Oryzias latipes: one gene and its partner. The protein of the gene in region 2 interacts with the protein of the main gene of each other region in a pairwise test. Links are inferred from orthologs where the notes say so. Each region holds a gene or a part of one and is shown on either strand. Other genes may lie near its edges.

Region 1 (7,352 bases), on a different chromosome or scaffold from region 2:
TATAAAACACAAATGTTTTTTTTTTTTTATTGATGGGAAGCTTTAATCAGGAAAAAGCTTTAATTTTCATTTTTCCAGTTGATGTAAGGAATTTCTCTTCTGAATTTCTAAAGGTTGAGTTAAGTTAGGCCGCATTTACACTGCATGGTTCAAGTGACTCAATTCCGATTTTTTCCTCTCATGTGGCACAGATCGGATATGACCGGTGAATGTGTAAGCAGGACAAAAGCGCATGGATTCCGATTTTCTCAGATCGGATTCAGGCCTCATTCATATGTGGAAATAAATCGGATATGAATCGGATACGTGCATTTGCGTGTGCCATGTAGGCAGACAAATCGGATATTCCCCAGTAAATGCGAGTCGTACGTCAGTGACGTCAACTCAGGACATCACCAACTGAGATCACATGACTTATTAAGGTGCTTTTGTGCACTGATGTTGCTGTCAGCGTGTTACCTTTCAGCCTCAGGCTTAAGACCGTAGTCGGAAACCGCTGTTATTTCCGGTCCGGTCCCGGTCGGGACGTAAACGGTAACTAATGAAGCGGGACACCGTTGCTCTGGAACAGGCTAGAAGCCGGTTATATCTTTGCTTGTGTTTTTGCGGAGTGGGGGCGTGTATGATGGGGACCGCGCGTGGTGTGTGTGGGTGTGTGTGTGTGTGTTAGGAGAGGAGAGGGGATGTGACCACGGAGCGGGGGACTGTCAGAGAACCGTAAATCAAAAATAAGGTGTCCACTCTGGAGGCTGAGGGTTTCGAACGGGAAAGTGAACCCCGAAGTAGAATCCGCCTTCGGCCCTGGAGAAAATCTCCCGTGCGTTTCTGACCACGGTCGGAAAAAGAGAAGTCATCGCGCAGGAAAGGTTCAACACTTGGATCAAACTGTTAGTACAGCACGTCTGCAAACACTTCCTCATTCAAAATTCAGAGAGAGCTGAGGAGCCCTCCTTTTTCCTCTCCCGCGCATCCCTTCAGCAGCGCCCAAGACAACGCCTCCATCCGTCGCTGAGTTGCCTCCATGACAACCGCAGTCACAAAAGTCAGAAGGAGGTCCGCGGAAGGCAGAAATGCTGCTACGTAGTCCTCAAAACGTCTACGATTGATAGTTTCAGCATTGTATAGTGTGAAAGCAAAAATCGGATACGGGTCACTTTTAAAAGATGATGTAAGCGGGTCGTCAAAAAAATCGGATATAGTAGGAAAATCGGATATGAGCATCAAGACCTGCAGTGTAAATGCGGCCTTAATGTTAAACTTTCACATTTCTAGAGTCATTTACTGCATTTTATTTTGCTTAACAAAGTTAGTCTGGCTATCATTGTAGTTTTTGGACCTGAAAACGGGGAACATTTTCTGCAGGTGGATCTCAGTCCTGAAGTGTGTGGGCATTTGTTTCCTCACATTCCTCATAGATGAACAATGATTCTAAGCTGTGCGTGTCCACAGACCAGAGTCTGCGTGTCAGCACTTCAGATGGGACTGTTGTTTTCTTTCAGCAGATATTGTTATGGCTCTTGATCAAAAAGGGTGTGAATGGTGAAGCGTTTCCAGTTTTCTCAGCAATTTGTTATGTTCAACATTGACTTCATAAGAAGAAATGACCCTCCAGGAGAGGTAGAAATGAGGATTTTGTAGATTTGTGGGTTTGTGTGGTTATCTCACAGAGCCAAACCTTGATAAAACATTAGACCAATGACTTGATTTGAAGGTCACTTCACGCTGAAGATACAGTGGGGCAAAAACGGATTCTGTCAGCCACCAACTGTAAAAGGTTCTTCCACTTAAAAAGACGAGAGAGGCCTGTCATTTTCAAAATATGTAGACCTCAACTATGAGAGACAAAATGAGGAATGTAATCCAGAAAATCACATTGTCTGATTTTTAAAGAATTTATTTGAAAAATAAGTATTTTATCACCTACAAACAAGCAATATTTCTGGTTCTCACAGACCTGTAACTTCTTCTGTAATATGATCCTCTGTCCTCCACTGGTTACCTACCGTATATATAAGACACCTGTCCACAACCTCAAACAGTCACACTCCAAACTCCACTATGTCAAAGAGCAAAGAGCTGTCTAAGGACACCAGAAACACAATTGTTGACCTGCACCAGGCTTTGAAAACAGTATCTGCAATAGGTAAGCAGCTTGCTGTGAAGAAATCAACTGTGGGAGCAATTATTTGGAAATGGAAGACAAACAAGACCACTGATAATCTCCCTCCATCTGGGGTTCCCCGCAAGATCTCACCCCGATGGGGTCAAAATGATCACAAGAACGGTGAGCAAACATCCCAGAACCACATGGGGGATCTAGTGAATGACCTGCAGAGAGCTGGGACCAAAGTAACAAAGGCTACCATCAGTAACACACTACCCCACCAGGGACTCAAACCCTGCAGTGTCAGACGTTTCCCCTGCTAAAGACAGTACATGTGCAGGACCATCTAAAGTTTGCTAGGGAGCATTTGGATGATCCAGAAGAGGATTGGGAGAATGTCCTATGGTCAGATGAAACCAAAATAGAACTTTTTGGTAAGAACTCTACTCGTGTTTGGAGGAGAAAGAAAGCTGCATTTCGTCCAAAGAACACCATACCTACTCTAAAGCACGGTATTTTTGGCCCATTCCTCCATGCAGTTCTCCTCTAGAGCCGTGATGTTTTGGGTATAAAACAAAGTTTTGAGTTGAACTTTTGTTATTAACCAGTTACTTATTTTCCACCAAAATGTACAAATATATTCTTTAAAAATCAGACAATGTGATTTTCTGGATTTTTTTGTCTCATTTTGTCTCTCATAGTTGAGGTCTACCTATGATGGGCCTCTCTCATCTTTTTAAGTGGAAGAACCTTTTACAGTTGGTGGCTGACAGAATCCGTTTTTGCCCCACTGTATCTGCAGTGTGAAGTGACCTTCAAATCAAGTCTGGATAACACAGCTTCATTGGTCTAATGTTTTATCAAGGTTTGGCTCTGTGAGATAACCACACAAACCCACAAATCTACAAAATCCTCATTTCTACCTCTCCTGGAGGGTCATTTTTACCATCATATCTGCAGTGGAAGGTAAACAGGTGATAAAGATGGAGGTTTTGAAAACCACATTAATTTCAGTTGCTTTTGAATTCATTCATTTTCTTAACCTGTTTATCCCCTATAGGGTCACAGGGCTACCAGAGCCTAACCCGGCCACTGTTGGGCAAAGGCAGGGTACACCCTGGACAGATTTTATTATAATTATTATTATGAAGAAAGCACAAGCAGAAAAACACTCAGCTGCATATTTTTAAGGTTTCAGCAATCTATTGCAACAGTTTTGTGAGTGTCTCCAAGGGAAAACCCCCAGATCAGATGTTTTCTTCCTTCTTTCTGGAGGACAAAGAGAGCATGATTCGGGTCTTACGAGCGGTGGACAAGGCCAACGGCTACTGTTTTGGAGATTTGGAGGAGAGAAATCTACAGGCTATGATGTCAGCTGCGGTGGGGGCAGACTTCCATTTCAACTTGTATCCTTCCCAGATCCCTGCGCTGACTCACTGTGACTCATTTGTTTCAACATTAACTCAAAGAACAGTCCAGACTTTATACCGCCCTTTTTTTTAGATTCTAATGTTAGATTATTTCAAGTATAATCAAATTCATGTCTTAATAATAAGCACATTAGTTGCTATATTTCCTTAAGTGTTATTCCACAGCACACTTGGAGTTCAAGAGAGGTATGTTGAAACTGGTGGAAGGACCGTGGAGGAGGAAATGATGGAGCTGTAAATGAAGACTCAGAAGAGAAGGACCGCCGTACATTTGAAGACTCTTATTCAAGTTCTCATCTCACTGCCAGGATTTCACTACTGCTATTGAAAAAAAGGGAAGCCAGTGAGAAAATGAAAGCTAACTTTGCTGTGAAATATCACCTCAAATGAACCACAGAAGAGAGCATTCAGTTCTTCTAATAAAAAAGCTTTTTGGTCCTTTGTTTTATGAAATACACTTTTGTAAATAAAGCTTTTCTTTTGAAAGGTGTGAAAGTATTTCCTTTTTTAAGAGAAATTTTGAAATGCTGTGTTTAAAAAGTTACATTACATCATGAAATGCTGCCTTTATTTTATTAATCTGACATTTCCAAAATGCATTATTAAATATTTATTTCTTTTTTGTGGTTGGATGGTTCTTGGTTGTCCTCCTGCATCCACACTGTGAGAAGAATTTCTCCAAGAAAGAGACAGAAACCTGCATGTTTCCTCTCCTCTCTGTGTGATGGAACGAAATCCCTGCTGCTGCCTGCTCTTCTACAAACATCTGAACATTTTCTGTTTCCCAAAGATGAAGCGTCACCTCGACCAGCAGAGGGCGCATGCGCGTGCAGATGATCTCCCCCACCGATCCGCAGAAATCTGCTCCGACTCTTTCCAGCATCCGGAGCAGAAAAATTAAGTCAGGCGGGGAGAGGAAGCCACATTAAATCTGTGTTTCTGCACAACTGGCCCTGTGTCTGCTCTTTGGGATCTTCTGTCTTCATGAATGCAGCTCAAACTCCGCTGTATTTCTGCTTCAGTGTGAACCACTATAACCAATCCAATCCATGTTGTTTGGTCTCCTATTAAACCCATCTGAAACCCTCTCAGGCTGCCTTTTCCATGTCTGCACTTCTGCAGGGTTGCAGTTGGACTGACATAAATTCGTAAGCCACTTTGAGGACCCAAGCCGTTGTGGGAAATCAAATTAACCCTGTGTGGTGTGGCTGCTAATGACATGCGGGCACCGGGCAGCTTCCTGCCTGCTAAGCTGTGTGTGCATTAGGGGGTGTGTCAGGCAGAATGTTAAATTGTGTTTCTATGTTTGTACATGTGATCAAGTATCGCCCCCCTCACCGCCACTTCCTGCTTTTTTTTTCTTTCCTAACAGCCCCCTAGAGGTAGATAGATGTGTGCGTAAAGCGGAGCGCAGAGTAGAGTAGAGAGCGCGTGTGAGTGCGTGCGCGCCTATTTGTGTGTCGTGTGAGAATGTTAAACCGAAAGGCAGTGTTGTCCCACTTACATGCCAAATGTGAATTTCAACCAGTTGGATAAGGGGGGGAAACCAATAAGGATTTTGGGTTTTTATTTGGATCTTTTCTACCAAACAAGCAGTCCCTGAGACGCGCGCACGCACTTTTTCATTACCATCCCGCCCCTGCCCAATGCAGCGCGCACACCCAACTACCCCTGGCTGGAACGCGCCTGCTTTATTTGTCCTCCTTTAGAGGAGGTGCTGGGGGCCACACAACTCTGGAAAATGTTGTAATTGCTGTGAGACTTTGGAGGGAAAGCGAAAACACTCTGACAAACAGAAGATGCACGGGAAATGCGAGTTTACTTCAGCTGAGGGAGAACCTGCGCGCCCATCCCCCCACGCACAGCACACAGTGTTTCTGGTGGAGCGAGATACAGAGAGGAGAGGGGGTGGCAGCAGAGTAGAGCAGAGCTGAGCCGAGCCGAGCCGAGCAGGCAGGGGAGGGAATGTGCATTGGTAGTCTCTTGCTGCAAGGCTTCCTCCTTCTGTTCTGGAAAAACCTGTGTTGCTATCCTTGTCCAAATGAAACTGTGATAGGCAAGAGTGCACCAAAGCAAATCTGAAAGTAGAAAATACACAGACAAATATGAAAACTAATGTGTGTTCTTATTTATTGGAAGTATGTCATCTTATATGTCTCTTTGCACACTTAAAATAAGTAGCTAAACCATGTGGATTGTGACAATAAATGGCCTCAAAGATGTACAGAGTGGTCACAAAAAAGGAAAATCTGAGGCCAAATGTAAAAGATGATCTAAAGCAACCCAGACGACAACTGTTTGATCCCTAAAAAACAAAGTAGAACGAAAATGACTCAAAAAAAGACCACCTAAAATGAAATTAATGGAACTAAACAGTCTCCAAGGAGTAATAGATTGGTTTCAAAGAGCTGTGAAACCCAAGAGGGTATATTAAACTGAATGTTTAATCATGAGCCATGTCTCAAATTTTGAAAAATGAAGATGCAAATGTAAATAAAAAACAACAACAGCAATGTTTGGTATTTGGCTCAAAATTGTGAGGAAAAAGCTAATTTGATTTTGCTTTCAATATCTTTTAAACCATCTATCTAAACGAATTAATGCAGGGAATGTTTATGGGTTTATAAAGGTTTTTGAATCTATTGGTAGGAAATTGTTTGCAGAGCCTTGCAAAACAGTTATTCTTAAACAATTATTCTTTTATACATTTTCTTCTTCATGGTTACTCATGAAACGTTTTTGTACTAATGATGATATTTTTTAATCAAACATTATATTATTAGCTAAAAATATGTACTTAGGGATCTAATTTGTGTAAGTCTACGTTGAAAAATGAGCTCGAAAATGATGTTTTGAAGGCTGAAAGGGGGAAGCGGTCCGGTCCGCGCAGGCGCAGCTCCGCTCCGTGTTTTGCGGCCGCCCCCGCGTCTCGGTAAAATGGCTGTATGTAGCGGAGCCTCGTGCTGGTTGGGTTAGCTCCCTGCCTCTACCCGGGCTCAGTAACACAACTCCCACAACAATTTCTGTCGCTTCCTCACGCATTGTATGGATCTTCCATCACCTCTCTGACCCGTTTGTGGAGCCGGAACCGAAGGATGGCAGCCGGATTCGGCTAGAATGAGTCTTGGGAATGTATCGACACAAGGATGAACGGTTCTGAAGAATTATTTATATTCAATGCTAGCGTTTGATTGTGACTGACTCGCCGAGAGAGGGAGAGAGAGGTGGCGGGGGGGTATATCATGGCCGCTCAGGTCGCCAGCGCCGCCACTCTTAACACTAGCCCGCCTTCTGAACTCAAAAAGCCGGATCGAGACCAAAAGGAAGAGACGGGGGAGAAACAGTCCGATAAAAAGCAGCCGGGGTTGGACAGCGGATCGCCGGGCCGTGGGAATCTGCAGGACGGGGCCGACGGTGGAAATGCTGGGGGAGGAGGGCAGCTGGAGATGAAGAACGGGAATGGGAACCCGCCCAGAGCCATCAATAATAACCAGAATGACTCCGTCGGACCGGAGGGGAACAACCACCCTGGACTGGTGCATCACCACGGCCCCACATTTCCTCCACCTTCCTACGCGTACAGTCAGCATTACGGTCGGGCCCCTTTTCATCAACATGGCGGACAACAAAGCCCTGGCATGGCAGCTGCTGCGGGTCCGGTCGTGCAGTCGAGCAACATGATGGACCCTTATCAACCCAATTCACAGGAGCATGGCTTTTCAAACCACCAGTTCAACAATTACAGCCCATTCCCGAACAGAACTCCCTACACAGGCCAAGGATACGCCATGAACTCTCCTCGCAGCGCTCAGGCGCCG
Region 2 (7,954 bases):
GGAATTATAACTAATTAATTGAAAACGACTAAACAAGCCATCAGTTATTGAAATCCATTAGTTGTTAAATAAAACATAAACTAAAAGGATCTGAGTCTCCAGAAGAAAATCCAGGCTTGATGCTGTACTGCTGGATGAAACTAAAGGGTAATAAATGGCAAAAAGAAATGATGAAAGTTGACCCTAAATAAAGTGAAAACAGAACAATAACAAAAAAGATGTTTGTAAAAAAAGTGCCAGAGCCGGGTATCGAACCAGCGAGCTTCAGAACCAAGGATTCCCCATTTATTTCAATGGAGGCAGAAATCCTGGAATATCTTGAAAACAGTGAATTAAATACTTTAAGATTCATTCCAGGCATGAAAACAACAAACATCCTTTTGTTGTTTTTGTCTGAATAACTGCTTTGTTTTCTCCGTCTCACAACATGAGGACATTTTTCTCCCGTGGTAAAAACATCTACTGTCTCAGTGTTGATAGATTAGCAGGAGATAAAAATGATGTATAATAATAATGATAAACATACTTTAGAAAACGGACAAAGGGGAAGTTTAAAAACGAGTCCATCCTTCAGGTAAACTAGAGGTTAACTAGTCTGAGGTTACTGAGACTAGAGGTTAACTAAATGCACCACAATCAGTGTGAATCTATGGCAGCTACTCGTTTACCAGGTCATTTTTCTGCAGACGTGTTATTTTAAACACACCCGTAATCTGACACCACCCACATGGTCATCTGAGACGCCATCACGGCCAAATGGGGGGGGGGGGGCACAAAGCAAGAGGAGAGGTTTGTTCAGTCCACCCACCTGTCAATCAAGAAAAACACCCACCCCTAATAAATAATAAAGGTTATGGTGTTTATGGTGTTTCTATGGTCAGACATCTTTATTTGTTCTTTGTGACTTTTATTAACTTCCTTCAACTTTTCGTTACTTTTTGGGAGAAGTTAGCAAAATTGGATCCAAACTGTTCCTCATCGTTCATTTCTGGCTGATGATCATCAGATCCTGAGCGTTTTTTCCATCTTTGTTGAAGTCGTTCTGGCACACGTGAACAGAAAGGAAGGTTTTCCAGCAGACTCTTATTTTGAAAGCATCGTCAAACCAGCAGAAAGACGCTTTAAGAAAACGTGGATTTTCTAACCACATTTACTGGAATGAAGTCATCCTCCAACTGGCTCCTTTCCATGTTGAACAATGAATTCATCTAATCCAACAGGATGTTGGGTTTTCAAAATAAGACCGAAAAGAAAAATCCAATCTAAAGATGTTTTATTGTTGAAACTAAAACATAAACATTTGGTTTCAAATGATGTAAAAACTGATTAGATTTAGATTTTCTTTTATGGTCATTGTCCATTGCATAATGAAATTGAAGCATCACCATTTCAGTACAAAAATAGAAAAATATAAAATTAGCCTAAATTACCAGAGGGGTTTATGCAAATACACACCTATTGTGTTAGGAAATCCAGAACCGCCCAAGAGGAAGCAGCTAAAGAGGATTAAGGTACCAACGGACCTCCAAACCCTCTGACCCCCCCCTGCCCTGGTCTTCAAGCTCCCCCCTTCTGATGTGGATGTTGTGGTTCCGATGAGTCCGGCAGGGACAGGATGTTCTGGAAAACGAGGTGGGGGTTCTCAGACCTCAGGTTATTTTAACGTGTCCAGGAGCTGAGCAGACAGACGGGAGCTGAAGGCGCCGTGTGTTGGACAGATTTGGCGGTTCTGGGTCCTCTGACACACTAGGAGTCTATTTTTAGTAGTAGGTTTGGGGGCTGTCATCTGGACTTGGTTTTAAAGTTAGAAGACGTTTCACCTCTTATCCAAGAGGCTTTGTCAATTCAGAATTAGCTGGTCTAAGAGCTCATGGGGGAGGAGTCAGACCTGAAACTGCATCTACAGCAGTGTTAAAAACTAAGTCCAGATGACCTTTAAACCTACTGCTATGATGGAATCAACCTGAATGAAAGAGTCTTCATAGACATAGGAGTCTATTTGCATAAACCCCTCTGGTAATTTAGGCTAAACTTGATTTATTTTGGTTCCATTTGTCTCTGTTTTTGATAAGGTTATTGTGATTCTGACTAAAACTGAAATGTAGTATTTTAGTTTGCAGATCTGATTCTTTTTCTTGATGAGACTTTTTTTCTCTGGTGTCTTTTTTCAGACTCCAGCTCCGAGTGAGTCAGCAGCTCTTCAGGCCGACCACGCGGCGAGTGGGCGCCGTGCGATGACAGATGGTGGTGGGCGGGCTGAATCCATTCATGAGAGCCCAAGCATGAATGGAGGAAGAACCGGAGAAGAAAACTGTGTGCCGGCCGGGGGTGGGGGTGAGGTGCTTCCAGAACATCAGTGGGCTGTTTTTCCGCTGACAGGAGATAATTGTTCCTGCATTTATGTCTCATCAACATCCATTCACCAAGCATGGAGGCCACGCCCACAAAACAATGGTTGTGCATATTGAGCATAGCAAAGTCGATCACTGCTAGCTCCACGGAGAAAGTGGGTGTTAGCCTGGGGGCGGGGCTGGAAGCGCAGACTCTTCCTGGAAGGGGCGGTTCCTCACTTTGTTATGTCACAATGTGAGGAACCGCCCGTTTTGTGGGTTGGGAGGGGAAACAGAAATGCAGGAAGGAATCAAAATACCACTTTGGGTTGTTTATAGAGAGGAATAAACATTATAATACACTTAAAAAGTGGATTTAGAGTGATATAGACCCTTTAAGGCGGGGCTGCATTTGGCCACTGGGCCGCACTTTGGACATGCCTGCCTTTCTCTACAGAGGAGCTGCCCTTTGGGGAGCTCCAGACTCAGTCTGGAACACCGTCTGTGCACTCGTATGACTTTTCAATTCCAAATAACTGCTGCCGTCATTTGACTACCGTACATTTTAGACCCAAAAGCCTAAATCAGGATTTTACGACCAAAACTGAGGCTAAACTACGTTAGGAAGTTTGTTCTCTCAAAGCTTTTATGGCCTTTAAATGTAAAACAGACTCGGGTGAGAAAAAGTGTTTAAATGAAATGTAAAAACTGAAAACACATTTGTTAAAATGCATTTCCTGCGTCTGGGTCACCGTCACATGCCGGCCACTGACTGAAGTCTCTGATGTTTATTTGTTTAGATCATAAATCTGTTCACAAACAAAAGCAAACAGTCATAAAACAAAAACATTTCCATAAAAAAATACTTTCTAAAGGAGCAAAGCAGCCGATCGGGAGCTCTGCATGGGGGTCAAAGGTCACCCCATCAGTCCACAGCTCTCACTGTGTGTAGACACCACCTGCTCGGTACATTAGCCTGTGCCAGTCCACGGTCTGGAGTCGCTCAGAGGTCACGGCGCCTCAGGCACGGCGCACTTCCTGTTCCGCACCTGAACCACTTCCCGTCTCGCCTTCAGGAAGTTCCCGAAGGCGGCGCTCTCTTTGCTCTCCTCCGTGACTGAAAGCACAAACGTTCACATGTTAGCGTCTCTGCGCCCCCTCCCTGATGGAAACATCCACACGCCTGGTCCAGAGAGGGAATCGAACGCGCGTCCTCAGCAGCTGGAAGGGTGGGGAGTGAAGTGAGCAGAAACTGCTGTGGCGATCACAGATGAGATCCAGACGTTTGGATCAATAATCAGAGGGTAAAGAATCGTTACAGTCGGACTGAACCATTGATCACATTAGCAAGGGGGGGGGGGGCCTGAATAAAATGTAATTCTTGGATTTGAGTCTAGACGTTCAGCAGCAGAAGACAGGTCTCCAACAGGAACAACTGGAGTGACGCTCCACCACAGCACAGACCTGTCTTCATGCAGAAGATCCTCCCGGTTGGCCTGGTGACGCCGGATGGCCTCCAGCGGCGCCGCTGATCTAACAGTTTGGACCGACGGCGGGTCAAACCTTTACGTTTGGACGTTTCATCTAAACGGAGGAAAATCTTCACGGTTCCGTTAAAATGCAGAGCAAACATCCCTAAAGACTAAAAAATCTGTTTTAATGTTTATGTAAATATGGAAAAAAGGCTCTTTATGGATTTTGCCATCCTTTAAGTTTCCTTTGCTTCGTTTTTCATCGCAGTTTTGCCGCCTTTTTCCCTCCAACACGTTTTCAAACTGAAAGTGTAAAGTGAAGCCAGTGAGTTTGTCCCTTAATGAAGATACTTTCTACAGAGATGTTTTTCTTTCTCGTCGTGCCTCATCTCGCCTCATGATGGCGCTCAGGGGCCGATAGAAGTTGATCACATTGTTCGATGACACAGAATTTGGCTCGGTTGCCACAGCAACCAAACAGGGGCGGAGTTTGTGATGGCCGCCTGTTTGGTTGCTTCTACGGAGTCCGTCCACCTTCGTCTTCCTCACCTGTGTGGTCGATGTCGTCGGTGTCGCTGTCCTCCTCCTCCTCGTCATTGTCGGGGTTCCCACGCATCATGATGAGGTCACTGGGTCCCGCCTCCTCGCCGCCCTCTGCGGTCGGACACAGAGTCAGTTGGAGTTAAATACAGGGTTTTTTAAAGAGTGGGCGGGGCTGTCTGCACCTGTGGGCGGAGTCCCGGTCACGTTCACGGCTCCCAGGTCCTTCCTGAGCCGCTCCAGCTGCTCCTGCTGCTTCCTGCTCTGCGCCTCCGCCTGGGAACAGGAGCGTGACTCAGAGAGCGGCCGGCGGAGTCGACCCCACACACAAACGCCAAACACTCACCAGCTGCTGGCGGAGGCGTTCGTACTCAGGCCGGTACTCTCTGGGGAAGGAGGCGGAGCTTCGTTACTTTCACCGTATGAAGCAGCAGAGGGTTTGAAGCTTCGTTATGCTTCCCAGACTCACGTCTCGTACTCTTTGGCCGCGTCTTCCACCTGAACGAACAGATCGTCCAACCCGCTTCCCGTGACAGCAGACACGCCCACCACCTATAGAGACACGCCCACTTAAACTCTGCCTCGGTTTGTTCTGTGCTATGAACAAAAGTCCAGACAGACTTTGAAAAACATCTACACGACACACGGCGTAACCTTCAGGAACCGGCAGGGAGAAACAGCAGAACACAAACAGCTAACAACGTTTAATGAACGACAGTGAAGTTAAAAAAGACGTTTCTACGGTGTTCTTCTCCGGTTTCCTCTCCTACAGCGCTCCTCACAAGACCTTTATTTTGAAATGTCAACAGAAAAACCAGGACTTTAACTGGATGTTCAAAGGCGCAGGGCTAACTTCAGCCAAACTGTGGTGTCAGAGGAGCACCGTGATGGAATAAACAGCCACAGCACAGCAGAAACCATGAAAACTGTCCAACCTTCCACACAGCTCTAAGCCAACGGCTGAAAACAAAGCAGGCCTGCAGACATGGATGTTCCTGCTGTGTTTTTTATTATAAATAACCTTTGTAAATGTTTTGACCACTAATACTAAAATGTTTTATCCTGAAGTGTAGCTCCTGTGCTAATAACTCTGGCATATTTCTGTGGAAGCAGCTGCTGAAACATTGATTAATGTGTCCTGACAGAACTTGGATTTGGTTCCCTGTAGATCTCATGGGTCAGCGCTCTTTGCACCTCTATGGACTCCTGACTCTCACCCTCAGGTTGGTGTAGAACTCGTCCAGAACCAGGCTCATGGACCGGGTCAGGTTGCTGACGTAGGACGTCTCCTGGTTCAGCGCGTCCTGGAAGGCCTCAAAGTCCTGCATCCACTCCACGGCGAAGCCGTGGTCGATGATGTCCGTCTGCAGAACCAACAGACAAACGGTCGGCGGCGGGAACGGCGGCGTGACGGCGTGGAGGCGGGACCGACCTACCTTGTTCATGACGACGATGAAAGGAAGCTTCGTTTTGTAGAGAATGCTGCAGAAAGAAGAAAGGATTCATTCAACAAACACCAGCAGGGGGGGCAGCAGGAGGGGGGGGGGGGGGGGATAAAAATCCACATCCAAATCAAAAGAACCACAAGAAGACATGAAGCTGGCGTCTGCGCCGACAGCGCCCCCTGATGGTTGGTTCTACTCATAACTTTTCTTTGTTCTGCTTTTTATTTCCAGTTTTAACGTATTTACAGGAAAAACTTGACAAAAAGCTTGAATGGAAATAATCCGTCTGTTCTGTGTCATTTTTTTATTTTGTAAATCGGTCAACTTTCCAGGTATGAGGGTCCACCTCTGATCAGTAAGTGGCAGGTTTGATTCCCACTCTGCCTGTTCACGTGTCTTTGGTTTGACATGGTGGTCCTTCGCATGGCAGCATGGTGTGTGCACGTGCGTGTGCATGTGTGTGTCTGGATGTAACGCACTTTGGGCCTGAATGAAGGTAGAAAAGCGCCGCAGACGCCGTTTACTGCATGTTCTCTGTGTTTGAGACCTGAGATGCAGCGCTGAGCATTCTGGGAGATTGAACTCCGGCTGCCTTTACCTGCAGGCGTACAGCATGTTGGACATGAAGGTGACGGGGTTGACGCTCCGGGACGTGTCCATCACGTAGACGACCACGACGGGAAAGGACGAAGCCTGAAACACAAACACAAGGTGACGACCACGACCACTTCAGGACGCCGTAGACGACGGGAGACTCCGCCCACCAGAGCCTCCGTGATGATGGTTCCAGACGCCGACCAGGTGAAGACCTCAATCTGACCGGGGGTGTCGATGAGGACATACCTGCAGGGGCGCACAAGACTGTCACCTTACTGGTCCACCAGACCATAAAGGGGCGGAGTTTCCGCAAACACTTTACATTTGGACTGAAAACAGATGTTGACAGTTAAAGGTTGTGTCTGAATTCCCGCCCAAACCCCTAACAACTAAAAAACTATCTAGTGCCCTGGAACACAAAAGCAGGTCGGACGCCACGCTCACTACTTTTTTAAACCGCGACTATGACATCACGATTTCACAGAGTGAAAATCTAGTGTTTTATGACGACCATTCATGAATCCACAGAGTTCAGATGAGGAAAACATTTTTAAAAAAATACATTTTTTCTCAAAAACACAATGCTTTATAAAAGCACACAGTCACAGCCACACACCAACCCCAGTCGCACACCGGTGGCACACTCTGCTGCTGAACACTGGCGCCAACCCCCCACCGGGGCAATGTGGGGTCTGGCGTCTTGCCCAAGGGCGCTTCCTAAGCATATGGGCGGTTAGGGCAGGAATCGAGCCTTCTGATCAGGAGTCGACCGCTCTACCACTGCACCACGGCCGACCCCCATTGTGGTCTATATTCGCAGATCTAGTGAGCATCGAGACTTCTGGGAAATTTCTAGGGCACTCGACTTTGGAAGTGTAGATTCTGACAGCACTAGAAAACGCAGAACGCTCTACAGAATGAGTAGGGAAGGAATTCAGACACAAGCAACGCCATTCTGTCATAAACATGAGTGTGATGTCATCAATCAGGTCATTTGATGTCACGCTAACACAGTTTACAGGATATTGTCGTGGATGGATGTAGGGATGAAGACAAACAAACACTGTTGAGTTCCAACAACCTACGATGAGTCTGACAGCCGTTCAGATCCTTCCAGGTCTCTGGTTTGGTGATGATTGTTCTGATAAATGGTTTGTTTGGTTGCCGTTAGCAACAAAATGAGACATTTCAACGAATCTTAACGAGACCACAAAGCAGACGTGACGTTTTTTAGAGCTGGTCATTTCTCATTAGGGGGGTGTATTGGCGAGAGTCTGGCGAGACGATACGTGTCATGAAGGGCAAACAAAAAAAGACTTAGAAGAAACTACCATTTAATAAAATGGTCAAATTCAGTTTATTTAATGATCATAATGTTAAGAAATGCTTTTATTTTGGTAACTTAAAATATAGAAAGGGAACAGTTAACATTGTCTGATTTCCACCACAAAATATTTTTCAGTATAAGAAAAATAAAGGAATGAATGTTTCTTAACCAATAAAGGCCCGTACACACCGGGACGAATATTCGCCAGGCGTTATTCGCCACGTTTTTTGTGTTCATACCCAG

What was found.
Region 1: the proteins of gpn1 (region 2) and gpn2 interact in binary tests that used the Homo sapiens proteins (3 or more experiments, as listed by UniProt). The link is inferred for Oryzias latipes from reciprocal best matches to the Homo sapiens genes GPN1 and GPN2.

Annotation. Positions count from the first base shown.
Region 1 is NC_019874.2:9,883,357-9,890,708, reverse strand, and holds the end of gpn2 (GPN-loop GTPase 2), read left to right. Parts: intron 1-3,379; coding exon 3,380-3,510; intron 3,511-3,699; coding exon 3,700-3,772; 3' UTR 3,773-4,024; downstream 4,025-7,352. Other genes in the region: AT-rich interactive domain-containing protein 1A, read left to right, coding at 6,777-7,352. UniProt on the Homo sapiens protein: Small GTPase required for proper localization of RNA polymerase II and III (RNAPII and RNAPIII). May act at an RNAP assembly step prior to nuclear import.
Region 2 is NC_019861.2:37,313,942-37,321,895, reverse strand, and holds the end of gpn1 (GPN-loop GTPase 1), read right to left. Parts: intron 6,631-7,954; coding exon 6,552-6,630; intron 6,481-6,551; coding exon 6,386-6,480; intron 5,825-6,385; coding exon 5,779-5,824; intron 5,707-5,778; coding exon 5,560-5,706; intron 4,895-5,559; coding exon 4,812-4,894; intron 4,729-4,811; coding exon 4,689-4,728; intron 4,619-4,688; coding exon 4,528-4,618; intron 4,457-4,527; coding exon 4,352-4,456; intron 3,448-4,351; coding exon 3,341-3,447; 3' UTR 3,003-3,340; downstream 1-3,002. UniProt on the Homo sapiens protein: Small GTPase required for proper nuclear import of RNA polymerase II (RNAPII). May act at an RNAP assembly step prior to nuclear import.